Linked DNA regions of Cricetulus griseus. The protein of the gene in region 5 purifies or fractionates together with the protein of the main gene of each other region. This does not show direct contact. Links are inferred from orthologs where the notes say so. Each region holds a gene or a part of one and is shown on either strand. Other genes may lie near its edges.

Evidence for each region.
Region 1: the proteins of Eif3b (region 5) and Eif4e purify together in Homo sapiens (affinity purification with western blotting; 5 studies listed by BioGRID and IntAct, with this or other methods). This does not show direct contact. The link is inferred for Cricetulus griseus from reciprocal best matches to the Homo sapiens genes EIF3B and EIF4E.
Region 2: the proteins of Eif3b (region 5) and Eif4g1 purify together in Homo sapiens (affinity purification with western blotting; 7 studies listed by BioGRID and IntAct, with this or other methods). This does not show direct contact. The link is inferred for Cricetulus griseus from reciprocal best matches to the Homo sapiens genes EIF3B and EIF4G1.
Region 3: the proteins of Eif3b (region 5) and Eif3g purify together in Homo sapiens (affinity purification with mass spectrometry; 12 studies listed by BioGRID and IntAct, counting the BioPlex papers as one, with this or other methods). This does not show direct contact. The link is inferred for Cricetulus griseus from reciprocal best matches to the Homo sapiens genes EIF3B and EIF3G.
Region 4: the proteins of Eif3b (region 5) and Eif3k purify together in Homo sapiens (affinity purification with mass spectrometry; 7 studies listed by BioGRID and IntAct, with this or other methods). This does not show direct contact. The link is inferred for Cricetulus griseus from reciprocal best matches to the Homo sapiens genes EIF3B and EIF3K.
Region 6: the proteins of Eif3b (region 5) and Eif3d purify together in Homo sapiens (affinity purification with mass spectrometry; 10 studies listed by BioGRID and IntAct, with this or other methods). This does not show direct contact. The link is inferred for Cricetulus griseus from reciprocal best matches to the Homo sapiens genes EIF3B and EIF3D.
Region 7: the proteins of Eif3b (region 5) and Eif4g3 purify together in Homo sapiens (affinity purification with mass spectrometry; 3 studies listed by BioGRID and IntAct, with this or other methods). This does not show direct contact. The link is inferred for Cricetulus griseus from reciprocal best matches to the Homo sapiens genes EIF3B and EIF4G3.

Annotation. Positions count from the first base shown.
Region 1 is NW_023276806.1:21,031,942-21,035,441, forward strand, and holds part of Eif4e (eukaryotic translation initiation factor 4E), read right to left. Parts: intron 2,062-3,500; coding exon 1,955-2,061; intron 1-1,954. UniProt on the Homo sapiens protein: Acts in the cytoplasm to initiate and regulate protein synthesis and is required in the nucleus for export of a subset of mRNAs from the nucleus to the cytoplasm which promotes processes such as RNA capping, processing and splicing.
Region 2 is NC_048597.1:67,966,473-67,969,972, forward strand, and holds part of Eif4g1 (eukaryotic translation initiation factor 4 gamma 1), read right to left. Parts: intron 2,743-3,500; coding exon 2,506-2,742; intron 2,361-2,505; coding exon 2,256-2,360; intron 2,155-2,255; coding exon 1,995-2,154; intron 1,932-1,994; exon of another isoform or gene 1,857-1,931; intron 1,776-1,856; coding exon 1,675-1,775; intron 1,150-1,674; coding exon 1,047-1,149; intron 792-1,046; coding exon 689-791; intron 481-688; coding exon 254-480; intron 121-253; coding exon 2-120; intron 1-1.
Region 3 is NC_048597.1:133,768,270-133,772,317, reverse strand, and holds the start of Eif3g (eukaryotic translation initiation factor 3 subunit G), read left to right. Parts: upstream 1-1,248; 5' UTR 1,249-1,339; coding exon 1,340-1,359; intron 1,360-1,475; coding exon 1,476-1,522; intron 1,523-1,714; coding exon 1,715-1,798; intron 1,799-1,902; coding exon 1,903-1,991; intron 1,992-2,113; coding exon 2,114-2,173; intron 2,174-4,048. UniProt on the Homo sapiens protein: RNA-binding component of the eukaryotic translation initiation factor 3 (eIF-3) complex, which is required for several steps in the initiation of protein synthesis.
Region 4 is NC_048602.1:6,869,409-6,873,400, reverse strand, and holds the start of Eif3k (eukaryotic translation initiation factor 3 subunit K), read right to left. Parts: upstream 2,801-3,992; 5' UTR 2,688-2,800; coding exon 2,629-2,687; intron 2,554-2,628; exon of another isoform or gene 2,441-2,553; intron 957-2,440; coding exon 858-956; intron 283-857; coding exon 162-282; intron 1-161. UniProt on the Homo sapiens protein: Component of the eukaryotic translation initiation factor 3 (eIF-3) complex, which is required for several steps in the initiation of protein synthesis.
Region 5 is NC_048597.1:77,058,642-77,062,141, forward strand, and holds part of Eif3b (eukaryotic translation initiation factor 3 subunit B), read left to right. Parts: intron 1-869; coding exon 870-989; intron 990-1,212; coding exon 1,213-1,270; intron 1,271-1,432; coding exon 1,433-1,561; intron 1,562-1,767; coding exon 1,768-1,925; intron 1,926-3,500.
Region 6 is NC_048595.1:375,067,495-375,071,776, reverse strand, and holds the start of Eif3d (eukaryotic translation initiation factor 3 subunit D), read left to right. Parts: upstream 1-1,482; 5' UTR 1,483-1,637; intron 1,638-1,753; exon of another isoform or gene 1,754-2,012; intron 2,013-3,021; 5' UTR 3,022-3,031; coding exon 3,032-3,154; intron 3,155-3,387; coding exon 3,388-3,433; intron 3,434-4,282. UniProt on the Homo sapiens protein: mRNA cap-binding component of the eukaryotic translation initiation factor 3 (eIF-3) complex, a complex required for several steps in the initiation of protein synthesis of a specialized repertoire of mRNAs.
Region 7 is NC_048595.1:15,353,412-15,357,410, reverse strand, and holds the start of Eif4g3 (eukaryotic translation initiation factor 4 gamma 3), read left to right. Parts: upstream 1-1,199; 5' UTR 1,200-1,523; intron 1,524-1,575; exon of another isoform or gene 1,576-1,918; coding exon of another isoform or gene 1,919-1,960; intron 1,961-3,999. UniProt on the Homo sapiens protein: Component of the protein complex eIF4F, which is involved in the recognition of the mRNA cap, ATP-dependent unwinding of 5'-terminal secondary structure and recruitment of mRNA to the ribosome. Functional homolog of EIF4G1.

The DNA.
Region 1 (3,500 bases), on a different chromosome or scaffold from region 5:
GGGGGCTGGAGAGATGGCTCAGAGGTTAAGAGCACTGACAGCTCTTCCAGAGGTCCTGAGTTCAATTCCCAGCAACCACATGGTAGCTCACAACCACCCATTATGAGATCTGGTGCCCACTTCTGGTGTGCAGGTATACATGGAAGCAGAATGTTGTATACATAATAAATAAATAAAATCTTAAAAAAAAATTACTACATGGTAAAGTTGTACTAAGACTGACAGGAAATCCAGAAGCCATGGGGAAAATGATATTTGCCTACATAAATATTAAAATTTTTAAATCCAATCCCATACAATTCCAAAGAACCTAATAAAAGTAAATTGGAACTGCATTTGCTGATTTACTATTCCTGCTATTTGAGTAACTGGAAATCAACTCGAAAGATAATCCAAAAGGAAAAAAAAAAAAAAAGATATAGGTAAAAACCCAGAACAGACTCTCCAAAGAGAAAACCACAAGTGACCAAAAGAATATGAAAGTGCTCTCAAGCACACAGTAAGAAAAGCGGACTTCCCACTTCAGACTGGCACCCATCTGGTCATAACAAACAGCTCACGCACAAGTGGGCACATACAACAGCACTGCAAGGCACCCCACCACCGTTAACAAAGGGGAGGAAGGCAAACATACTACCTTTATACACTGTCCCCACTCATTACTAAATCCTCTAACTGTTAAGTGCTTATAAGAACATACAGAAACCACAAAATTTACGAAAAGTCAGTGATGGTTTTAGTACCAAATAGCATTTATAGTATTTTCCCAACTGGCATACTTTGCAAAATAAAAAAAAAAGATTAGAACTTAGAGAAATTGTAATCTCTTGAGATCTCACGAGGATTGAATAAATCTGTTTACACTTTTGCATGGTCTCAAATTTCTCAGCAGTCTGGTGTGCTGGGTTACTCCCCTCCTAATGACAGCAAAGCAGTAACTGGGTTCAGACAGCTAAAAGGAGTGTTAGCTGTGTATGCACATGAGTGTGTTGGCCTGTGTGTATGTCCATGGACGAGTGAAGGTGGGACTGGATGCCCTGAAACTGGAGCTACTGATGGTCATGAAAAGCCATCTGAGTCCTCTGCAGGAGCAGCTCATGCCTGTAACCATGGAGCATCAACCCCTAGAGTTAGGGTTTTAAAATGCCATAAAAAGGGCAAAAACTATGCTATCCCCTTGATGGTGAAATACGACAATAAATTACAAACAGGCTGGCAGGCTTTCAAATAAACTCAGTTAAAAAAAAAAAAAAAAAAAAAAAGATCTGCTTTTGGTAAACAAATATGGAAACCAGAAAGGAACTCGACCCTCAGAAGTCAGTTCCAGTGTTACTTTTTTCCAGGTTCATGTACATTTCAAGTTTCCATTTTCTTCCCACCATCAGTAAAATAAAAATGTTTTTCATTACATAATCTGAAAACCCAGTAACTAAACCAGAAACATAGGTAAAGCTAGAGAACGGTATAACAAACCACCACCCATCTTCCGTTACACCGCTCATTTGAAAACTTGCCTTAGTTCCCCTCCCTCCTCCACCTGGTCTGCATGGGCCACCTCCTCTAGCCTTCACAAACCCCATCTCTCTCCTTTCTCAATCTGCCTTTGTTTCCCATTCTTGCTTCCTAATATGTCTTATCCACTTTTCAAATGCTCCAACCTCTCATTCCTTCACCTACACTTTACAAAAAGCCTTCGCTGAAGTCAGCAAGGAGTTACTTCAGTGTGCAGCCCAAGGGAGACTGTGACACCTTGAGTAAGTCTTGCTCCTGTATCCCTTGGCCCCCCACTGTCCTGTCTTCATGACCATATCCTTCAGAGGCTTCTCTTCTCCTCAGCGAAGATCCTTTGTGGGCTGACACCTGAGCATATACATCTAAAAGGAGGCACACCTCATCCTTCTGTTGAAACCTAGCTGTGCACCACCCTTCTTACCTCTCTCAGAAAGCAGCTTACCTGTTCTGTAGAGGGTGTTTGATATAGTGCTCTGGGTTGGCAACCTCCTGATTAGATTCTGTTTTTTCCTCTTCCACAGGTGGGGGATTAGTAGTAGGGGTGGTTTCCTAGTGGAAAATAATAAAGTAGGATTTAAAAAAAACTTTAAACAAAACCAGGACAGCAATACTATAAGCAAGTTTGATACAACGAATAAGAGCAGATGATTTCACAAGATTGACTACAGACCAACCCCTGGGACAACCAGACCACTTTAGCTCTTCATTAAAGCAGAAAGGCTTCTCAAATTTAAGTGATTTTTATAAAACTGTAGATACACCCCCCCTATTTGCACATTTTAGGTCATCAAAGATTATAAATAAAGGTAATGGCCCCTCCAAAGCTAGCTCGAGAATCCATCTCAAAAAACAAAAACAAAACAAAACCAAAAAAGAAAAAAAAATAGCCCAATTTTCTTAATATGTTAAAATATTATAGAAGGGCGGTTTAGTGTGTTCAATTCCTAGGTCCACAAAAAGAAAGGTAAACCAGTACTCTATATTATGGAGGTAGACTGTGGAAAGGTTTAAACTATTATTTTGCAAGTATAACAACTATGTTGATACAATGAAAACAATTAGAAAAAAACAAAAACAGACAAACAAAACAGCATTTCAAGTGAGCAAGCCAGCAGTACAGAAGTCCTTCATAAATTCATGTCAGACTCACTGCTTGACACAACAGCTGTTTGGAATTTTCTGTGGTAATATATTATTTATGATTTATTAAAGCTTGCCTGTGGTTTCAGAAAGCAAAGTCAGCCACAAGCCATAGAAGCCAGGCACACACCTTTAATCCCAGAAGCTAGGAGGTAGTGGTATACATCTTTAAAGGTAGATGATCTGTGAAACTAAGGCCACCCAGATCTACACAAGATTGATCCAGTCCTAAAGAGAAACAGCTTACACAAAGATGATATCAGCACCTGGGATCACACACTTTTAATCCCAGCATTAGGGAGGTATGTAAGACAGGAGCAAGGTCTCAGTATCAGGCATTCATTCTCCAGCCTCATGGAAGATAGGAAGACATTCAGACTTCTACAGTCACGCTGAGGAAAGGCAGCAGGATCAGCCCATTCAACCTGAGGTAATGGTAACAGCTAATGGCTTGGCTGTTTTGTTTTTCTAATCTTCAGCTTCAAGTCTGAACCCCAATATCTATCTCTGGGTCTTTTATTTTTCGTGATAAAATTTTCAACAGGTAAGGCATAATTAATATTGTCATTGCAACTATGAAAAGGAGCCTGGGAATAATTTAAAGCATTCACCACTGTGCCCTTTGCAGTTCCTCAGCCTGCTAAAAACTGACCTTAACAGTTAAAATAGCCAAAGTCAGTCATTAGAAGCTAAAACAAATGCCCGAACATGTATGTGCACGCACACAGGCACTTCAACAATACAATATTTTTTATTGAACTTATATACTCTTCAGCATTGAGCATCAAGCCTAAGGCCTTGTATGTATAAAGCAACACTGAATTATACACCCAGTCTAACTACCAGCT
Region 2 (3,500 bases), about 9.1 Mb from region 5:
CCTTCATGTCATTGAGATGGAGATATTCCTCAATGATGGCCTTAGATTTCTTCTCCACTTCATCCTCAGAGAGTGCAGCCTTTGGAGGGCTCACCGGAGGTAGAGTGGCTTCCCGCTTCACTACAGGAGAAGAACTTTTCAGTTACTCATCTTACAGTCTAGAGCTCTCAAAGAAAGTTGGGGAGCACTCAGTCCCACAGCCCAATAGCCTTTGCCCCCATTCCTCTGCCAGCCTTCCCCCGTTCCTTCTCACCAGGATCCCGACCACGATCTTCTGTGAGGCTGGCTGCCTTGCGCAGTCCCTCGGGCTGGGAAGGCCGCTCTCTACTCCGCTCCTCCACTTCCTTGCTAAAACTTCTCTTGGTGGCTGGTGTTCTGGCACGATCAAGTCGGTCCCCACGGTCACCTCCCCGCTCACTCCGCTCTAGTCGGTCTCCCCGGTCCCCAGCTTTCTCACCTCGTTCCCGGCTTAAGCTACTCCTGAAAGATATGTTGTTTCTCATCTATACTCGCTCAACAACTTTCATGTGACTACCCACCCAACGTGTATGGCAGCTGCTGGGTCTCATTCTTGGCATCAAGGACATGTCCAAGCAATACAGGTATGAGAAATCTCTATGCTATGACAACCAAAACCCAATCGCAGTATTCTATGAGAACAACCACCCCAATGCCCTTAAACATTCACCTCTGTACAACACGCCTGTTATCTGTGTTCTCTGTGGGCAATGCTTGTTGAAGAGCAGAAAAGCGATTCAAGGTACTAGTAGCTGGACGAGTAGCTTCTGACGCTAAGGAGACAGAAAACTGCATTAACCCATTTCTACCCTCCAAGAGCTAGGGTTACAAGAGTGCATCACCATGCCTTGTTCACTACTTTATGCACCCCCTCCATAGTTGGTCGATGTTGACAGGAAGTAGTTCAATCCCTGGCATCATATATGCCTCCTGTACTCATCCCTAATTACTTATTCTGCATTTCCCATGGAAGAAAGGGAGCTGAAAATAGCAACCATCCAGTTTCCTATAGTGGCCTCCTTTCCTACCTGTGTCTGAGGGCTTGGCTCCTGAGCCCCCACTGCTGCCCTTGCCCCAACTCAGTCGTCCTCCTGGTGCAAAGAGCTGGTTGTTGGAATCAATGGATCCAGGCTGCAGAAGGAATAAAGTAGACTCACACTTCTGACCTAGCTTAAGCCCTTAGCCCACACTGAAGGGCTCAACAGGGGGGTGAAGCAAGCTGTTACTATATTTTACTGTATAGTTGGACAGTCAATATTCTAGTGCTTTACAACCTATAGGCTATGGCTACTACTCATTCTGCCAGTACAATGTGAAAATAGTATAATAAAGAATTAACTGTTGTTATATCCCAGTAGTTATTCATAGACAGTGTAATTCAAATTCTACATACTGTAAACACCATAATAAAGTATTGCCCTTTTATTTTTTTCAATCGCTTAAAGTGTAAAAACCATTCTTGGCTTGATTTTGGTGTTGTCAATTTACTAGGACCAATGTGAACAAAACCTGTAGCTGGAGCCCCTTCATTTAACCAGTCTCAAGCAATCTAAATAGTCTAAAAAGAAAATTCAGGCATCACCATCCTAACTGTGGGGACCAATGTATGGTACATCCCTTTTCACCCTCCACCTCACCTTCAGAATACAACCCTACCTTGGTGATCTTGGTGAGCCGTGAGGTATCAATGGGGCGGCTGCCTTTGCTAATGGGGACTGTATTCCAGCCACCATCATCCACAAGTGGAAGGCCACGGCCTGACACAAAAAATAGGGGGTGGGGAGGATGTTAGAATGACAGGTCCTGATAACCCCTCCTTGGGCCACCCTCAGCCTCTCTTCCTCAGATCCTCAATCCCATCATGTGGTCTCAGTGGCCCAGACACGTGGCACTAACAGAAGTCATCAGTGGAGAGCTGGGTACCCTCGTACCCGCCATGAGCTTCACTGTCTCCTTAGCCCTAGCCTCAAACTCACTAATGGGCGGGCCTGGAGGGCCACCCCGACGCTTGTCGCTGCCCTTGGCCATGAGTTGCTGCACTTTGATGTGTTCTCGGTGCTCTTCCATCTCAGCCTCCTTGTGGATCTGATCAATAGTCTTGGGACCCTGATCCCCTCGTCGAGGCACCCAATTGCTCTTTGGAAACAAAATGAAAACAGCAGTTATTCTGTGGTTGGCATGGATCAGACAAGGCAGTGTCAGGAACTAGAGCAGATGAAGTGGGGGAAGAGACACACCTGCCGCAGATCCAATACATCCTGCAACATAAAACGGATTCGAGATGAGGTCTTCTTTTCTTTAATAATTTTTTCCATTTGGTTGAAATACTGATCCATTCGAGGCTAGGAAGCAAAGGACCAAGTCAATCACCTCATACTTCAACTCTCACATTGGCTAAGCAGCCCAGACTCCCTCCCTAGCCTGTATGTTGTCAGCAAACAGGGGGCCCATATGCTTCTCCCGTTCCCCACATCCCAGAACCTCTACCTTGGCTTTTGCAAAGTCCAGGTCTTTGCCAATAGTGGTGAGGAGACGGCAGAGACATTCCAGGGACTCTTCATCATGGTTCTTAAGTAGTTTGACCACACAGTCATGCATTATTGCTTCTGTCAACATCTTCAGTTTGAATAACTCTCCAATGAACTTGATATTCCCTAAAGAGCGCCGTCGAGCTATGTCCCGGGCCTCTTCTAGCTCTTCTTTCAGGCGTCCCCGTTCTTCTGCCTGTCAGTCATAGGACGAAGATTGTTCCAAAAAAATAACCAGCCGGGCGGTGGTGGCACATGCCTTTAATCCCAGCACTCGGGAGGCAGAGGCAGTTGGATCTCTGTGAGTTCAAGGCCAGCCTGGTCTACAGAGTGAGTTCCAGGACAGCCTCCAAAGCCACAGAGAAACCTGTCTCAAAAAACCAAAAAGATAACCAGAGGGCCAGAGAGATGTGTCAGTAGTTAAGGATACTTGTTGCTCTTGCAGAAGACCCGGATTCAGTTCCCAACACCCACGTGGTAGCTCACAACCATCTCTAACTCCAGTTCCAAGGAATCAAGTGCCACTTTCTGGCCTCCTCTGGAACCAGACATGCACACTGTACATACACATACACGCTGGCAAGACATACATATAAAAATAAAGCTAAGCCAGGCAATGGTGGCACACACCTTTGATCCTAGCACTAAGAGGCAGAAGCAGTTGGAGCTCTGAGTTAGAGACCAGCTTGGTCTACAGATCTAGTTCCAGGACAACTAGGGCTGTTACAAAGAGAAACCCTGTCTCAATAAAAGAGCTAAGAGTAAAACAAAAACAAAACAGTTACTTGGCTAAAGCTGCCTTTTCTCTTTTTATCTAGATAGCCAGCCTAGCATTAGGCACACATGTCCTAACGTAAAGAGAGCCCTCAAGATCCTTAATACTATCCCCAGACCTCTAAAGTCAAGCTCTAACTTGTAGGGTAGGGTGGTGAGCACAGAGTGGAATCGGCAATA
Region 3 (4,048 bases), about 57 Mb from region 5:
AACTCAGAGACCCACCTGTCTCTGCCTCCACAAGTGCTGGGATTAAAGGTATGCACTCCTGCACACGCACGCGCGCGCGCGCGCATACACACACACACACACACACACACACACACACACACACACGGCTCCATAATACAAATTCTACGTGCTGGAAATATAGGTCATCACAAGTGCGCCCAGCGTGTGCTTTCCATCTGCACTAGCAACCCAAACTAAGAAAGAACTTCTTGGAATGCATGTTCCCAGAGGCTGAGAATCAAGTAAAGGAAGATTATACCAGAGTTCTAGGGGGTGTAGCTCTGAGGAAGGAGAAAAGCTTAGTATGGGAAATAGTTTAAGATGACACTGGTAGGAACCCATTTCACATAGAGGAATATTCCCTGAGCCTAGACACACGGGGGAGGGCCTACGTCCTATCCCAAAGGATATGACAAACTGATGACCCCCCCCTATGGAAGGCCTCACCCTCCCTGGGGAGCAGAAAGGGCATGGGATAGGTAGGGTGTTACTTGGGGGAGGGAGGCAGAGGAGGAGGGGAGGGAGAGGGAACTGGGATTAACATGTAAAACAATGTTGTTGCTTTCTTCCTTTTTTTTGGGGGGGGGTTCGAGACAGGGTTTCTCTGTGTAGCTTTGGAGCCTGTCCTGGCATTCGCTCTGGAGACCAGGCTGACCTCGAACTCAGAGATCTGTGCCTCTGCCTTCCGAGTGCTGGGATTAAAGGCGTGTGTCACCAACGCCCGGCCTTTTTTGGTGTTTTTTATTTTTGTTTTGTTTTGTTGACAATGTTGTTTCTAATTCAAATAAAAAACGGAGGAAAAAAAAAAGATGACACCGGTAGAACTTGCAAGATGTCTTTGCAGCTAAGAAGGCTGACTGCCAAGCCTGAAGACCTGGGCTCAGTCCACAAGAGAATAAACTGGGGAGATTGCTATGAGTGCAAACCCAGCCTTCGGTACATCAGTGCGTGGTGCTCATGCCTATAATTTCAGCCCTTCGGAGGTTGAGGCAGGAGGATTGTCGGGAATTGCTGGTTATCCTAGCTACAGAGTGATACAGTGACTTCTAATCCCATCACTCCCCCCCAAAAAAACAATAAATTAAGTGGGTGCGGAGAGTTTAAGAAGTTCTGGACGGTCTCTCTGGGACCTCCTTCCAGCTTGGGTCCCCGTACTTCGCTGCACACGAGAGTCGCGTGTCCGCCTTCGTCCATAGGGAGGCGCTGTGCTCGCCGCGGTCTGGCCGCTCTAGGCTGCAGGGGCGGCACCGGAAGCCTCGTTCTCCCCGGGCTTCCGCTCTCTACCCGGGCTGGGAGCTGCGTGGAGCTAGACTTCGCGATGCCGACGGGCGACTTTGAGTGAGGACGGGGCGGTGGCGGGCTCTCCAGAGAGGCGGTGTGGGGCAGCGCTGGGTGTGTGGTGATCCGGGCGGCGCGGGGGTCGGGACCCGCTCACCCTTCTCGTGTCTCCGCAGCTCGAAGCCCAGCTGGGCCGACCAGGTGGAAGAGGAGGGCGAGGACGGTGAGTGCGCGTGTGCGTGTGAGTGAGTGCGTGAGTGCGTGCGTGTGAGTGCCTGTGCGCGGCCCTCCGCGCCCTGTCCCGGGGCGGGCCGAGCCCCCGGAGTCCCCAAACCCACCCACACCTTGGCCTGGACGTCCCAGCCGTGTGTTTCACTTTCCGTCCCCCCCGCCGCCCCCGCATTGCCTCTGACAGACAAGTGTGTCACCAGCGAGCTCCTGAAGGGAATCCCTCTGCCCACCGGGGACACCAGTCCAGAGCCGGAGCTACTGCCCGGAGGTGAGCCCCGTCCAGCCCTGCCGTCCCCTCCCCCTTCCGGCCCTCGAGCCCGTTCCCAGCAAGTCCCCGTTATCCAGGACTCAGTTCCTGTTGTCTTCCCACAGAGCCACTGCCACCTCCCAAGGAAGTCATCAACGGGAACGTAAAGACTGTGACCGAGTACAAGGTAGATGAAGATGGCAAGAAGTTCAAGGTGAGGCCGAGGTGGCCGCGGGGGCGCTTGGATTGGCGATGAGGGCTGTGAGTGTTGGTTTGGATTGGTGAGGAAGGAAGGCCTTGAGGTTCTGGAAGTCCTTTCTCCCTTTCCATCTTCAGATTGTCAGGACCTTCAGGATTGAGACCCGGAAGGCATCGAAGGCTGTGGCCAGGAGGAAGGTGAGGCCCTCCCATCTGACTCACTTTGGTGTGTGTATGCGGAGGGGTCTCCAGGACTGGCCCAGAGGAGTTGGGAAGTCCTTTCCTGTTGATGTAGAATTAAAAATTTAGTGTCAGGCCCTGGAAATTCAGGGTCCAGGAGTAGTTGAGGTTAGATTTTTTTCCCCCCTTTTGTGTGCTCCTGTGTACAGTGTCATTCCTCCAGCAAATTCCTCTTGCATTGAGATGGGCTTTTGTCATCAGGAATTAGATTTGACTAGCTGGCCACCTATCCCCAGTGAGCCTGTTGTCTCTACCTTTGGAGATAACAATCACATGCTTCTGTGCCCAGCTTTTCATTGTGGGTGCTTGGGATTGGACTTTGATGGGTACTTTTGTGACAAATAATTTGCTAACTGGGACATATCCATCCTCTTGAGTTTTTTGTTTTGTTGTTATTTTTATTTATTTTTTGGTTTTTCGAGACAGGGTTTCTCTGTGTAGCTTTGGAGCCTATCCTGGCACTCGCTCTGGAGACCAGGCTGGCCTCAAACTCAGAGATCCGCCTGCCTCTGCCTCCTGAGTGCTGGGATTAAAGGCGTATGCTACCAACGCCCAGCCTTAATTTATTTATTTTTAAAGATTGATTTATTTGTTTATTATGTATACAGTGTTCTGCCTGCATGTCAGAAGAGGGAACCAAATCTCATTACAGATGGTTGTGAGCCACTATGTGGTTCCTGGGAATTGAACTCAGATCTCTGGAAGAGCACTCAGTGCTCTTAACCTCTGAGCCATCTCTCCAGCCCCATTTGTTGTTATTTTTGAGAGGCTCTTGCTGTGTAGTATTCAGATTCTAAATGCTTCTGCCTAGCCTCCTGGGTCCTGACTTAGATTCTTACTCCTTTGCTCTGTCTACTTGAAGGAACAAGCAGCCTCTACTGAGCAAGGGGCAAGGGCTTCTGGAGGAAGGACATCAACACATTGAGAGCAAGGCTCCATGCCAGGCATTTAGCAAGACATGGCTTCCCAACCTCTAGATCAGGCTAGGGAGGCAGGGAGCTTTGTGGTCCCATTTAACTAGCTTAAGGTTCCTGTGATCTGAGTGACTCTTGGACATCCTCCAGCTTCCTCCCTGGTGGGAGCCCGCCCTGCACCTGCCTAGAAACTTCAGTGGCACAGTTGTGTGCCATTCTACTCTGAGTCTCCTTGCTGTTTCCTGGAGTTTTTTTTTTGCTTCTCTCCTTATGGGGTGTGTGTGGGGGGGGGTAGGTGTGTGGGTGTGTCTCGGGGTCATGAATGGCTGTATATTCACACTCAGACTAGAGGAGGAGATTGGGTGACTTGCTCTGTCATGTCACTTTACAACTTATTCTCTTTAGATAGGGTCCCCTGCCCCTGGGCTATATTTAACTCTTTGGTTTGTTTGTTTTTTGTTTTTCAAGACAGGGTTTCTCTGTGTAGCTATGGAGGCTGTCTTGGCACTGGCTCTGGAGACCAGGCTGACCTTGAACTCACATAGATCTGCCTGCCTCTGCCTCCCAAGTGCTGGGATTAAAAATGTGTGCCGCTACCACCTGGCTCATACTTTCTATATGAGAGTTTTGGGTTCTTTCATGTACAATAACCGGTTTTACACACGGAACCACCTCACCAACACCCTCCCCCCTTCTCCCCCACTCCTTTGTTTTGGCCTCATACAGCAGAGCTCAGGCTGGTTTTGAACTTGTGTATCTCAGGGTGACCTTGAGCTCGGAATCTTCTGTTTCCACCTTTAAGTGTCAGGGTAACAGTTACATTCCACCAAGCCTAGCTTAGGAAATGAGAATTGTCACCATTATCACATGGGAGGCCTCTGGGGACACGAGAATGTAGGATTTAAGGCTCTGACGGGGT
Region 4 (3,992 bases), on a different chromosome or scaffold from region 5:
TCCCGAGACCTCCATATGAGAGGCATGAGCATCACACAGCACCTGAGGCTGACCCAGCATTGAGCTGAGCCCAGAGCAGGCACCTGGTTTTTTTTTTTTTTTGGATGCCCCGACCTGCCCTGCTCCCCAGCCTTCTCCCATGCCACCAGAAGGAAGGATACATGTGCCTGGTCGATCATACATTTGCACAGAGTGAAGTCAGTGTGGGGCAGGTTGGTGAGCGCTTTCAGCAGAATCTGGGCAGTAACCGTGGTCTGAAAGAAGGCTGGGTTGAACTGGTACCTGAGGAGAATGAGACAAAGCAATGATGGCATCTTGCAAAACTGGCTATAGTGGCGTACAACTGCAATCCAGGGACCCAGGCAGGTTGCAAGTCTGAGGCCACAGGCATGTGTACACACACTACACACACTCACACACACACTGGAAGAAAAGGCCACTAACCCAGCACTGACAGGAAGATGCTAGGAACAGAGCTTGTGCTGCATGATTACAACTGAGCTCAAAGCAAGCAAGTCTGAGCTAAACTGATCTGGATGCAAGCAAGTACCCAAAGCCAGACCATACGTAAGAGTTCCCAGTGGTTACCTAAGGTGGGAGTTTGGTAGGGCAGGGCATGTGGCAAAGGGCCAGTAGCACTAGCAACAGGGATATTCATTTACAGTAATTTGTGAAGCAATAGAATTGTTTATAGATTATCTTGTATGTTTTGACCTTCTTGGCTTCCTGGTTTACACACCTAAGAGAAGCCACACACTGCAGCTTGCCATGGGTACATCGGCAGCCAGGTCCCTATCCAGAGTGGCATCCTGCTAGCTAGCAGCTGGCATGAGGGTGGAGAGGGGACAGACACTCACAATTTCAGGACAGCTAGGTTGGCCTCCAGATCATAAGCATTCTCCTTGGCTTGGGTTTCCACATACCGCTCCAGCGTCGCCAGGTTCTCAGGATTGTACCTGGAAGGGAATCATGATGATTCGTGAGCCACCTGGCATGCATTTCATGGGGGGGGGGGGTGTACAGACACACAGGATGAGGATGGACAGAAGATGGACTTTATAGTGAAAACCTTCCTCAAAAGGAAAGAGGGAGATAACGTGACAAATAGATATGGGTAAACAGAGAGAAGGAGGAGGCCAGTCCCAATATAGGGCTACTATTGTAACCTGAAATCACTCTCTTCCTTCCTACAGCTTTAAATCTGGCCCCGGGGTCTTCCTCCCTGTATTACCTTTTTAAAAATTCTTTCCCATTCGATTTAACAATAAATAATAAAGCTAGTCTTATCCACTAGATATACCCAGAGAACTGACCAACTGTACCTTCTCCAATAAACCCTGCTCACAACTCAGCCCTACTGGAGCCCTGGGCCGTGTTTAGGGTGCGTCCAACCTTAGCCAGTCTCTGCTGCCTGTATATGTGACTTCCTGAACATCTACCAGTATCCTCTGGGAACTCCTGACTCAGTTCTATTCTGCCTAGGTTAATACTCGGCTTGGCTCTGGCCTGGCCCTGATTGCTCCTTGCTGTCACTACTTTCTTTCTTTTTTATTTGAATTAGAACAAGATTGTTTTACATGTCAATCCCAGTTCCCTCTCCCTCCCCTACCCCAGCTATGACATATTCTTTCTGCTTCCCAGGGAGGGTGAGGCCATCAGAGTCTATCATATCCTTTGGGATAGGGCCTAGGCCCACCCCCTTGTGTCTTGGCTCAGGGAGTGTCCCTCTATGTGGGATGCGCTCCCAAAGTCCACACCTATGCTAGGGATAAGTACTGAACTACGACAGGAGGTCCCGTAGATTTCCAAGGTTTCCTCACTGAAACCCATGTTCCTGGGGTCTGGATCAGTCCTATGCTGATATCCCAGCTATCAGTCTGGGGAACAAGACCTCCCCGATGTTCTGTGGGTTTTGCCAGCCTGGTCTGGACCCCTTTGCTCATCACTCGTCCTTCTCTGCATCTGGGTTCCAGTGCAGTTCAGTGATAAGTTGTGGGTGTCGTTTCTACTTCCACCAGCTGCTGGATGAGGGCTATCGGGTGGCATATAAGTCAGTCATCAATCTCATTATCAGGGCATTTAAGGTAGCCTCTCCTCTGTTGCTTAGATTGTTAGCTGATGTCATCTTTGTAGATCTCCAGACATTTCCCTAGTGCCCGATTTCTCTGTAAACCTAAAATGTCTCCCTCTATTATGGTGTCTCCTTTCTTGTTATCTTCTATTCTTCATCTGACTCTACCTTTCTGCTCCCTCATGTCCGCCTCACCCCTCCTCTTCTCCGCTTCTCATTCTCCTACATCCGTCCCCTGCTGTCACTACTTTCTGTTGAGCGGGGTTGTCGCCCGGTTGGAGCGGGGACCTAAGTCCGGGGAAGCGGGACCGGTGGCTGTCCCCATCACCTCCGGTTCCCAGCGGCCTGGCAGACACCAGGGACCCTTACGTTTGATGGCTGGCAAGAAGAGCAGGGAGGAGAGAGCCTGAGAGGCCCCGAGAGCCTGAGGCGGCGGTGACAATAAAAGGGACGGAGGTGAGACTTGGCCGAGCGTGGAGCCCAGGCCACCACCCCTGCTGGCTCCCCGTCTTCTCCACCCCGCTTGGCCAGAGCGCGCCCTGCAGCCGAGCTCGGACCTGTCGATACCCTTGAGCAACTTGCCCACGTTCGCTCTCATCTGCTCAAACATCGCCATGACCTCCGTCAGCTTCCGCGGCCCCCGCCGGAGTCGAACCCCAAGGCCCCGGCGCGCCGCACCGCACCGCACCGCACCCGAGGGCCGGAAGGAAGAGAAAGGGAGCACGGGAAGCGGAAACACGTCACGCCCTGTCTCCCGCGGCCTCGGGGAAGGCGAAGGGAAAGGAGCTTCCGGCAGCCGCCTCGGCTTTCCGGCTAGCACGTGATTCCTCCGCAGCCGCCGCCGCCGCCGCCGCCGGGTCGGGCGTGAATGGACCCGACGGCGTGAGAAAAGGTTTCGTCCGCCGTACTACGCAGGCGCCGGGAGGCGGGGCCGAGCCCGTTCCCGGGCCGCGGAAACCTAGAGCCGAACGCTGGGGTTCCGGGCGGGCGCGCCGGCGCTTGCGTAGCCCTAAGCGCAAATAGCCGCGCCAGGGGACGCAGCGGCGCCCACTTTGCGCTCGGACGGGGGCGAGGTGCTCTCTGAAGCCCGTCTTGCCCCCCTGAAATGGCGTCCAGTACCCTAACTCACTATTAAATCCCCGATCCGTGGTGCCACCGGGGAGCACAGCGAACGGCTGCTGCGCTTGCCACCCTGGAGTCTCTCCCCATCGGGCTCCCGATGGGGGCCACTAACAAGCGCCCCGTGTCTGCCCCAGACTCCGCGTGCTTGAGGCTCGATGCACCAGTGTGTGCCACGTGGGCAGCTGCCCCGAGCGCCTTCCCATTGGTACACACGGGAACCCAAGACATGTGCGCCTCACGGGCCCTGTCGCAGGCGTGCAGGAGCTGTCACCTGAGTGGCCTGAGGAAAACAGGCCTGTGTGGCGCTTAGGTAGCTCGGTGTGCAGACCTGCAGCCTCTGGCTTGGCTCCAAGTCTTCAAGTGCCTAGCAGAGGTTCAACTGTAACGTGTGACTGACTCCTCCCAGAACAGGAGAGCTGGGAAGAGGGTGCTAGGTCAGCCCCAGGTTGCAATTAAGGTCTTTTGCATCTTATTTACATAGTGCACTTGAGGGGGCAAAGGGGAGTCCCACCAGTCCCAAGGCAATCAGGCTTTCAGAACCCTAGGGACAGGGGTGGAGCCCTCTGCACAGCCTCGCAGCTGGGGCAGGAAGCGAGAGTGGGGAGGGGGAAGGCCACAGCCCGCAGAGTTCAAGGCGGGCCCAGGACTTGTGGAGACAGAGGGTGATACCAAAGCTCGAGCCCTGAGGCCCTGCTGGCCCCTGGGCACCGGCCCAGCCCCGGGCTCCAGGGATGGCCCTTGTTGACCCCGACATCTTTAATAAGGACCCCCGAGAACACTATGACCTATTGCAGCGACT
Region 5 (3,500 bases):
ACCACATGTGTACTTAGTCTTCTCAGAAGCCAGAGAGAGTGATCATTTGATCCCTGGAACTGGAATTACAGACAGTTGTGAACCACCATGTGAATGGGTGCTGAGCTCACTGCAAGAGCAGCCAATGGCCTTTTTTAGTTTTGTTGAAAGTCTCACTATGTAGCCTTGGCTGGCCTGACACTCACAGTTCTGCCTGCCTCTGCTTCCTAGCTTTGGGATTAAAGATGTGGGCCACCTGGCGTGGTTAAGAGCTAGTGCTCTTAATTGTTGCTGAGCCATTTGGTTGAAGGGTAATCTCTTTGACTGACAGTTACTTGCTGTGTTAGGTGTTTATCTGTAACGAAGCTTCCCCTAAAATCCTGTGTAATTTTCCTGTGATGTGTAATAGTGACTCTTAATGAGGTCATTGCTGACCAGAAACATTGCATATGTGAAATGGACACTTTGCTAGGTTTTGACATACGTTCATCACGGGGCTGTCATGGGATAATGACTATTTCTGTTAAACTTTTCTGTCATTTATAACCACGAAGTCACAGTTTTGAGATGTTTCTAAGCTGGGCAGTGGTGGCACACACCTTTAATTCTAGCACTCAGGAGGCAGAGGCAGATGGACCTCTGTGAGTTTGAGGCCTGCCTGATCTACAGAGCGAGTTCCAGGACAGGCTCCAAAGCTACTCTAAGAGATGTTTCTATTAGGATTTCATTCTTTAGGAAACTGCGTTGCCTGCATGTACTCTGGTCCTCAAAGTAACTGACCATCTTGGGGAGGCTGCAGAACAGCTAGGACCTCAGTTCGTTTAGAAAGGTCTCAGTATACAATAAGTTTTAAAGGTGCACATGTGCAAGCTGTTTGCCTTCTTGCTCAGGTACATCTTTCTGGAATATGCTTCTCCTGCTCATGCTGTGGATGCTGTGAAAAACGCTGATGGATACAAGCTGGACAAGCAGCACACGTTCCGGGTCAACCTCTTCACTGATTTTGATAAGTGAGTTGGAGCCTGAGATCTGTGGTTGATTCCTGTGGGTGATGGGGAGTTCGTCAGTGGGTGCTGGTAGCCTTTGAGGTGATTCACTTCTGTTGGCCAAACAAGAGCATTTCAAGTTTCTGCTTTGGGCTTGGGGTAGGTGGAGAGGGTACAGTGCTGCCTGGTCATGGGCCCCCTCACCCCATCCAGCTTGTGCCACTCAGCAGTGCCTATTCTGTTGCAGGTACATGACGATCAGTGATGAGTGGGACATTCCAGAGAAACAGCCTTTCAAAGACCTGGTATGTGCTGTAAAACCTCTGCTTTTGTAGTAAGGAGAAATTTCATAACTTGAGGTTAAAAGGTGTCTGTTGAACTTGTCATCTGTCAAAGTGTGATAGTGTCAGCTTTCTTTGAATAAAATTAATTCAGTGCACTAAATCCCTTGATTTTGATATTTTTAGGGGAATTTGCGTTACTGGTTGGAAGAGGCAGAGTGTAGAGATCAATACAGTGTAATTTTTGAGAGTGGAGACCGGACATCCATCTTCCGGAATGACGTCAAAGATCCAGTCTCAATTGAAGAAAGAGCGGTGTGTACTAGCAGCTGTGTGACCTCTTGTCTCATTACAGCAGGGCTGGTTTCTGCCCGAAGGAGCAGGTGAAGGCTCTTGTTCTCTGAGGCACTTTGAGAACAGCGTGGAAACAGATTCTGAAAAAAAGAGAAGATGCTTTGTAGAAGGAAGGGTCACTGTGCTTGGCTTTTTGTCATTTTAACGCTGGTCCTTCCTTCTTACAGAGATGGACAGAGACTTATGTGCGCTGGTCCCCTAAGGGCACCTACCTGGCCACTTTTCATCAGCGGGGCATTGCCCTCTGGGGAGGGGAGAAGTTCAAGCAGATTCAGAGGTTTAGCCACCAAGGCGTGCAGCTTATCGACTTCTCTCCATGTGAAAGGTGAGTGACTCAAGCTCTCCTCTTGTTGGCCTCCTCAGGTGACTTGTAGTCTCAGACTTCACAGAAAAATTCCAGAAAGAAGCCAGAGAACTCGCCAGGCTGGCCTTTAATCCCAGCACTCGTGAGGCAGAGGCAGGCGGATCTCTGTGAGTTTGGGGCCAGCCTGGTCTCCAGATCAAGTGCCAGGATAGGCTCCAAAGCTACATTTTGCTTGCTGAGGTGTGGCCCAGCGTCTCTGCCACTGAGCTACATCCTCCCCAGCCCCATAAAACTGAGCAACTGAGCTGGGGATAATTCCCTTACATGGTTTCACCTTTCTGGGCTGCAGTGACAGAGTCCCACAGCAAGAAAATTGTCTGTATCGTATCGTGAATCTTAGGAGAGAGCCCATGCAGACAGAACTCGCTATAGTATGTGTTTATAATGGTTGCATTCTGTTCTCTTTGGTCTCTTAACTCTGCTTAACACATACTTATGGGTATGTGTATATGTACGTATAAGGAAAAATACTCACTGGACTTGGTACTGGGAGATTGTGGAATGTATCCTTCAGGTAAAGTGGACCCTTCAAGGTGAACCACATGTGCTCATTTCCAAGGGCACATCCACCACATAACCACCGTGTGTATTTTGTGATGCCTTAGTTCTAGGTAAGGCACCATGCCTGCATTAATATTTGGTGCCACAATGTCACACAGATTAGTTCTTATTCTAGTTCAGGGACTAGACATTTTTCCTAGAAGGGTTTCTTTCCCTTTTCTGAATTGGTCATGGAAAGAGACACTTGTGAAAAGTGGAGCTGGAGGAAAGCTAGAGGAGCCCACATGCCACGCACACCTAGAATCCCTGCACTTGGGAAATAGAGGCAAAAGGATTGGGAGTTCAAGGCCAACTGGTCTACATGAGACTCTATTAACAAAAAACAACAAAAATATATACTAGTTACCTGCCTTAAATTATTCCTTTTTTTTCTTTCTTTCTTTCTTTCTTTCATTTATTTATTTATTTATTTATTTTCTGTTTTTTACAAGGCGGTTTTTTTGTGTGGCTTTGGAGCCTATTCTGGCACTCACTCTGTAGATTAGGCTGGCCTCAAACTCACAGAGATCCACCTGCCTCTGCCTGCTGAGTGCTGAGATTAAAGGTGTGCGCTACCAACACCCAGAAAATTATTTCTTATTTACGTCAAAAACAAAAGGTTTATGATTCTGTAACTTAAAAGTGCCTTCCTGTTGGGCTGGAGAGATGGCTCAGTGGTTAAGAGCACTGACTGCTCTTCCAGAGGTTCTAAGTTCAATTCCCAGCAACCACATGGTGGCTCACAACCATTTGTAATGAGATCTGATGCCCACAGAACACTGTATACATAATAAATCTTTAAGAAAGAAAAAAAAAGTGCCTCCCTGCATAGACAAAGGTTGTTACATCCACTGATGCATGTTGGCCCCAGTCCTATGTCCCGTAGCTGTCATTCCCTTCACTCGGAACAATCCTTTCTTCTCTTTGTGCTGCTCTCATAGAGTGCCCTTTAATTCTTAACCACTTCACCTGTCTGGTACAAGAGAGTCCATTCCA
Region 6 (4,282 bases), on a different chromosome or scaffold from region 5:
GAAAGATGATTAAACTCTGACACAGTAGAATCTGCAGCAGATGGCCTCTGGGATCCACAGCAAAAAGGGAAAGAAAAAAAAAAAAAAAAAAAAAAAACACAAAAACAGGAGCGATATGATGGAAGTTCAGCAAAGATACATGTCTCCTTATATTTTATGACACATCTCAATTTTATATTGATTTGGGGTCTTGCTATGGAGCCTAGGCTAGCTTCAGGTTTGCAACAATCCTTGTGCCTCAGGTTCTCAGGTGCGGGGAGTTCAAGGTTAGCCTGGGCAATTTAGTGAGACCCTATTTCAAAAATTTTTTAAACATTTTGGTGTAAGATGGCTCAGTTTTCAAAGACAGTGCCTTTTTCTCAGAACCTTCTCCAACTTCACCAGCTCCTGTCTGGCATTATGATCCATCCTCCTGCCTCAATTTCAGACTAGAGGGATCCCAGGATGCACTGCCATTTCTGGCTAGGAGCCAACTCTTAAAGGCATATGGTGTGGTAGGCCCAACCTTCAGGGCAGAAAGAACAGCAAGTGTAGGACCTGCTGAGAGGGAAATGAGAGCAGGCCACGGTGACCAGAGCAGAGGTTGTACAGAATAATAGGCATCGAAGCGAGAAGGCAGCCAGGGATGTCAGGCCACAGAAAGCTAGTCTACTTTATGTTATGCTTCCCTAGGGAGGTGCTAATTGTGTGGGAAGACGTTTGACCACGCTGAGGAGCAACCCACCAGGAGTATGAATAGATCCAAGCTATGACGGGAGATGGAACTCAAGATGTGTCTGAAATTAAAATAGGCTAGTCATGAAACGAAAGAATATTTATTTATTTATTTATTTATTTATTTATTTATTTTGGTTTTTTGAGGCAGGGTTTCTCTGTGTAGCCCTGACTGTCCTGGAACTCGCTCTGTAGACCAGGCTGGCCTCTGCCTCGTGTGTGCTGCGATTACAGGCGTGCGCCACCACCGCCGGGCCTATTTTGTCTTACTTTCAATGAGCAAACAGAAATCTCCGTTGAAAAATGAGGCTTAAGATCTGTGGAACAAGGGTTTGAGCCCTGGCGGCCATCGCGAAGTTCTAGCAGCCCGGACCACGGTCTCTCGCCACCCCTCACCCTGCAGACAACCGGCACAGGGAACGAGCGAGGACACCTCCAGCGGAGGGCGGTTCAACCCGACCAAAGCCAGACAGGAGCCAGCAAGAGCCGCGGGGCATTGTGGGAGGCAAAGGGGCCGAGGCAGCCGCGAAGCATTGTGGGACACCGCGGGGCCGACTCCTGCTCCCCGCCCCAGCTTCCCTCGCACCGCGCGCCGCCACGTTTCAGTTCTGAATCGCTCGAGGCGTCCGCGGATGCCGCTGACGTAACCAGCCCCACTCCTGTCTCTCACCTCAGAGAATAATGAGGACTAAGCCAGTGGCCGTGACAAACTTCCGGTTGTGTCTTCGCTTTACGGCCCGACGTTTTTCCGCTGACTAAAAAGGAAGTGGTAGCGCCGTTTACGACAGCGCCGGTCGCGGTTTACGGCGCCGGCTCTTGCGCGCGCAACTTTCCTGCTGTCTTGGTTCCTCGGAGAATCGAGAATATCGCAGTCTCTGACCCGTGCCATCTCTCGCCATCCGGGCCTGCGGAGCCCACTGCAGGTGAGCGGCTTGCTTTGCAGAGACCTGTGGACCTCGCGAGCCACCCTGGGCTAGGCCTGGCTTCGGGGGCCTCCCGGAAGAGCCTTCCTTTACGTCCTCTCCTGTCGTCGCCCCAGGGCGGGGCGGGAATCTGCCTTGGGTGGTCCCAGGCGCGACCCTGTTAGTGCAGGACACCCCACACGGTGTGGATCCCTCACCCGATGCTAAGCCCAGAGCCGTGGGGACGAAGTGTCCTCCTCCGGGGGCTTCGAACAGTTTCCGTCTCTGCTCCGAAGTGGGCGACTGAGAGGAGTGTGCTCCACCCTGGTGTGAAACCGAGCCCAGGACTTCGTGGCTCTTGTCTGTAGTGTCCACAGTGATCCGCACCGTATTGTGGTTAGTACAGCTGTCGCATCGTTTTAGTTTTCCCCTATCAGTGACCTTCTGGTTCTCATGTGCGGAAGCCAAAGGACTCCAAACCCCTGCCCATCCGGGGAGATGATGCATGTCAAGTCTTGGACTATCTTGAACTTGTGACAACTAAAATTACAGTTGCTTTTGAGGTGGTATTGTGAGTATGTCTTAAAGGCCCAGGTCGTCAGGCTGTCCCTAACTGCAATGTAGCCAAAGAAGGCCAGGCTTAGGCAGACAGCCTTGGAAACTGCCTTTGAGATGATGGGCAGATGGACTGCTTAAGTTATGAGAGCCAACTTTCTCAGAGATGATGGTTTGAGGAAGCAGTGGTGCCTATCTATCCAGCACAGTTCCAATACTTTGCTGGGGGCTCTTATTTCATGTGAGCTGTTCAAAGGCCACACGCTCCCCCATGTTCTCTTCCTACATACAGCTTAGCATAAGTTCTTATTTGGGGATGCAGGTCCCAAGTTTATTCCTTGTTGCTGTCACCTAAATATCTTAAGCTTTCCTATGGTGGAGCAAGGAGGAGAGATTACTAAACTCTCTGGACATTGTCAGAAGGTAAGACTTAGTCTAGGCTTAGAGACGTTGGGTATTGGGTGCCCAGGTGAGAGTGTTTTTGAGGGAACTCATCTCACTTTTATCATACTTCATGAATCTGAGGTAGCTCTGTCTTATGTTATTCTAAGAAAGAAAAGACAAGATGTGACAGCCATCAAGCATAAGGCATGGCCTCATTTCAAAGATAGTCACCAAAAAAGAGCAAGTCCTAGAATTAATGAGACACAAGAAAATGTGGCTGGTGTCGACAATGTTCTGAGTTTTAAGTGTTCTTAGAGTGGTTTACAAGAAAGCTGTCCCTGCTGCTCCAGAGCCCAGGGCTCTGCGCTTTGTGTGTGCCTCTGTGGTGCAGCTTCAGTGGATCACGGAGTGTTTGGGACTTAGTGGCCTTTCCTTATAAAGCTGTTCACAATGCTTGTGTTTTAAGGTTTTAGACAATGGCGAAGTTCATGACTCCTGTGATCCAGGACAACCCTTCCGGCTGGGGCCCCTGTGCAGTTCCTGAACAGTTTCGGGATATGCCCTACCAGCCTTTCAGCAAAGGAGATCGGCTGGGGAAGGTATTGGGTCCCTTCAGCTGGGGTAGCTACTCCACAGCTCCTCACATCCTTTTTGCTCTCTTGGTGGCTATGCTTCCTTTGGGGACACCAGCCAAAGGCCAGAGCGGGTAGCTGATGCAGAAGCATCAGAGGTGAAGCTGATGACGTGTTCACTCAGCCTCCCTTGCTATCTTGAGTTTCTGAGTCAGCAGAGGCCTGCTCACCTGACCTCTTGTCTTCATCACACCTAACAGGTTGCAGACTGGACGGGGGCCACGTACCAAGACAAGAGGTACACAAGTAAGTATTCTTCAGTGAACTATCCACATTTAGGCCTTGGGAAGATTGTTGCTTTGTTCAGTGAGCTCCACACTGAAAAGGAATGCTGATGATAGTTATTGGGGTATATTTTAAATGTGTGCCCTAATATTGGTTTTGGAAATAGTCCCAGAAGTTAAATTGTTAATTATTATAGGGGTGACAGCCAGACTCCTAGACATGTTGAGTGTGCTGCCGTTTGCATTTATTGCTTGGGACTTCCTGAGGCCATCAGTCAGTGGGCTGCCCCGGTTTTAAGGTTCTGGTAAAGGAACGTGCTTTTTTTTGCACATTAAGAGATTGGGGTGGGGAGAGATGCAGAAGAGGAAGAGAGAGAGTAAAGGGAGAATTACGGGTCAACCATTGGAAACAGAGCGCAGAAAGTGCTTTTCTTGGTGCCAGTTAGATGGTTGGAAGTAACTTCGGGAATACTAAGTTAAGGTGGATGAGGTCAGAAAGAAAGTTTATCATGGTCGATGATAGTGTCCATGGCTCCTGTGATGGCAATGGTGGTACACTCCAGATTCTTAATTGTCCAAGGCAGAGGTGAAGTGGGTTAACTTGAGATGCTTGGGCTCTCTTGGTAAGTTCTTTAGACTCAAGCTCTTAAAACTTAAATGTGTGTATGAATCACCTGGGATCATGTTTAAATACAGGTTCCCATCTGTCAGGTCTGGACAGGGGCAGTAAGTCTGCACACCTCACAAGCTCTTGGCTGTGGTCCCCAAAAGTGCTGCAGGTCCCAAAACCACGCTTGAGAGAGCAAGGCTCAAGACTGCCATGTGTAGCCTTTAGGGAGCACTTAGCACACACTGTCACCTTTGCCTGCAG
Region 7 (3,999 bases), on a different chromosome or scaffold from region 5:
ATGGGGGTGGGAGGAGGAGACCTTATCAAGTGTCATCCCAGCGAAGGATGATGGGAAGCCCACTACAAGTTGTGGCCACAGGCCCCTCCAGTTTTGGGAAAGACATCCACCCTGCAGAGTCCTGGTCAAAGTTGCTGGTAAGGCAGATCCGTTTGCATCCTAGAAGGCAAGGTTCATCTCAGAGAAGGTGGAATCCAGATTTTGGATTCCCTCCGTTCATTTCCAGCCGGGTGACCTTGGGGAAGTCACTTTTTTTTCTCTGGGCCTCCTCTGCAAATGGGGCTCCTCGTTCCATTTCGCACTTAAGAGCATCCGAGGACGACGTGTCGACATAATGCCCGTGACTTGCGACGTCAAGTGCCGGCGAGTGGCATCTGTTATGTTAATAAGTCCCTGCGGCAGGCGGGTTCCTATCAGTAGCCGTGCGCTCCGGCTTAGCCGGTCCCTCTACAGAGACTCGGTTTCTCGCTCCGGGCGCCTCTGGTAGGTCTCGGCGGACCTCGGCCTCGGGTGCCGTTACTATTGTTCTTCGAGGCTGGGCCGCAGGGGAGGGCTCTCTCCCTTCATACCTCTCCTTTGGTCTCTCCCTCCCCCAGGCACCGTGCCGCGGAGAGCCTCAGCAGCTCCGGATCACCGATCTTCCCCGAGAAATAGTCAGCTCCAGCGGCTCTCCCGAACAGCGGCCGAAGACGCTCCCGAGAGCTCCCGAAGAACCCCGGCCGTTCGCTGTCTCCGGAAAGAGCCGAAGGAGCTTTCCACCCTCGGCCTGCCGAGCCCTTCCGAAAAGGGCCGAAAAGCTCCGAGCGGCCGTCCTGCCGGACTGCTGGAGGCGGCCGCAGCGCCATGTTGGATGCTCTGCTCGTTGAGTGAAGAAAATCCGTCCGCATCGCCCGAGCCCCGCTACCGAGAAGGGCGCCGCTTCCCCCGGGGAGGGGGACAGAGACCCCCCGCCGCCGGCCCATGAGGATATTGCCGTGAAAGGTCCGGTCTCTCCGCCTCCTGCCCCCGCCGGGTCCGGCCCCCCCCTCCCCGGGGTCGCGTTGTCACGGAGACCGGCAGCCGGTGGTGCTGGCCCGCGGGGCGGCTGCTGCTGCCGGCGGCGGCGGCGGCGGAGGCGGCGGCGGCGGGCGGCGGAGGGCGTGTGTGACCGGTCCCGGCCCCCTCCTCCTCCTCCTCCCAGCCTCCCCCCGGCCCCCGCTCCGCCGCCTCCCCGGGTCTGCCCCCATCCCGCCCCTCCGCTGCCCCCGGCCCCTGCACCCCGGCGCGCCCGGTCCCGCTCTGGGGGGGTTGGTGGCTTCGCTTTGCCATGAGTTTACCGCAGAAACCGGCTCTGAAATCAGGCTCAGCGGCTGCAGCAGGAACCGGACCCGGCACCGGAGCGGCGGCGGCAGCGGCGGCGGTACCGCCTCTCACCCGGCGGCGGCGGCGGCGGCAGCGGCGGCGGCGGCGGCGGCAGCAGCAGCGGCAGCGGCGGCCCCTCCTCACCCGAACATCAGGGCCCTCCAGACCCCGGCGCCCCAACAGTATCCTTTTCACCTTCCAGCGGTCCAGAACGACCCGTGGTGGGAGCCTCCCTGCCTGCCGCCACAGCCCAGCAAGGGAAGGGACGGGCAGCCAGCCGCTCCAGCCCGTTGCTCCGGGCTTGGCCCGAGCTTTTGGGGTGCACCGGTGGCAGCATTTGCTGGGACCCCGGGACCCTCTGCGGTACCGTGAACACTAGCTCCCCCGGGTCATGCGTCTGCAGCTCTTGTGGATCTCGGGGAGCCCTGCCCTTGAAGACCCCCTCCCCTTTATTGGGCAGAATTTGCTGGGGCTTGGGACCAGCCCTGCAGGCAAGGCTTTTCTGATTGTTGGGAGGCCCTGCCTTCCTGCGGGGCTCGGTGGCCTCTCTGTTATTTAGAACCCACAGTAAACTTTAATGGTAAATTTCCTGTTCGAAACGAATCAGCTCGTTCCCGAGGTAAGTTGGGTCCTCTGCCTATAGTGCAAGTGTACAGAAAGCACTCCTTCTGGCTATTTTTTTTTTTTTTTTTTAGCAATTAGAGTTGTGTTGTGGTTTGTGGTGGAACCGGCTAAGGAGGAAATGCTACAGTGGACTCTTCCCTGTCTTTGACCTTTTTAAAGGAAGAGGAAGTTAACTCACATTACCCAGCACCCCCAGAAGTGTCACTCCTAAGATTGGTGTTGTGCTAAACGTTTTTTTTCCCCCCCCCAAGGCCTGATGTCTGGAGGGTACCAGGGCTCCCGAGAAAGCTCAAGTATCGAATGTGTTTTAATTTCATGATGTCGAAGTTGGGACAGCTTTGATTGAAAAATCTTGGTGGCCAGGTGTTTTAGTCCGAATAAAACGTTGAAATCACGGCTCCCTCGGAGCTTTAGCAAGGTGTTCCGTTTCTTTTTTCTTTCTTTCTTTCTTTTTTTTTTTTTGTGGCTTTTTCGAGTCGGGGGTTTCTCTGTGTAGCCCTGGCATGTAGACCAGGCTGGCTTCGAACTCAAGAGATTTGCCTGCCTCTGCCTCCGATTAAAAGTATGTGCCACCACCACCTGGCAAGCAAGGTGTTTGTTACCTGAGAGTAACGTTTTATCATTCGTCCCTCCTCCCTACGCCCCTTGTGCTTGTGTGAAAAATCAAACGATCATTGGATGTTCACTTTGCTGTGACTTAACGCGTTTGTCACCCTGCTTTTGACTTTAGACATAGTCGCAGTGTTTGAGCTAGATAGTCTCGGCTGTGAGGGCCGCGGATCATTTCAGTCTAGTTTGATTCTTGTCTGTATTGATTACCTTGAGAAGGGAAAAACACTTCCCTCCTTGGGTCACCTCAGGTCATTGTTTGTTTTCTGTCAAGTGTCCTTTCTGTGTTGTCTCAGTGTTGGTAGTCAACATCTTTCAGTGCTCCAGTGTGGTGTGTGTACTGATTTCATAACGTTTTGACCCTGCACGGTTCTGTTCAGTTAAGCACTCACTGTTGAGAATGTTTAGTGTTTGTGGAAACCCAGTTACTTGTGACCCACATGCACAGCTGCTGGCCTGGGAAGGAGCAGGTTGACTGTTCAGCCTGCTTCAGTGTAGAATTGGGTCGCTTCAGTCTACCAAGCTTCACTTCATACTTAGGAAGGAATTTGAACTAATTTTAGGGTGGTTTTTCTTGATGGTCTGTGCTTGTAGGTTTCTGTCTCGGGACCAAGTGAGTTATTCATTACCTGCCTCTTTGAGGGAGTTAAAGCAGAGGAAGCGTGTAGTGTGGTATGTGCTTGGAGCAGCATACTGAATAGCAAGTGTTGTATCACAGTGTTGTATGTGACAGCCTTTGTTAAAGTTGGTGGCCTCTTTGGATACAAATCTGGGTGACTTGAGTATCCCAAGTGTGCTTTTTCTCTGCACTTCACAGTCCAAGGACTGGAAAAACTTGGAGCTGGTTACAGCTTGGAAGTAGTGACTGGTGTTTTGAGTTAAATTTTTATCTTTTCTTTAAAATAGAAAATGCAGCCATTAAAGATGAGTAAGTTCAAGGTGCTGTTTGCAGAGATCATTTTAGATCCTTCCTGGCAGTGTTGGAGCCTACTGTGTTGCTTTAGGGATGTATTTTGCTCTACGTCTTGGCAGTTGACATTTTACACTTGATGTAGTCTACAATTCCCGCCTGTCACCTGGCAAGATTACATTGCTAAATTGTAAGCATTTTTCTAGATAGTAAGTGAAGCATAGGCTACAGGCTTCTTAGAACACATCAGTGGTACAGTATTGCCAGCTGATGGTGGAAGAGGTCGGAAATGGATTGAAGTAGAGCAATCTGCTTTTCGAGTAGATGGAATGGGGGAATCTGGGTTTGATGCAAGCGCCATCATGCAGTAAGTTGGTGTTGCTCTTTCTGTGGCTTGAGTAGATCTCTAGTTCCTCAAAATTTATGGATCTCTAGTTCCTTAAAATTTATAGGTACAATTGCTTGCTTCAGATTAATTAGCTCAAGCAGTATGTGTGTGTGTATATATATTATAT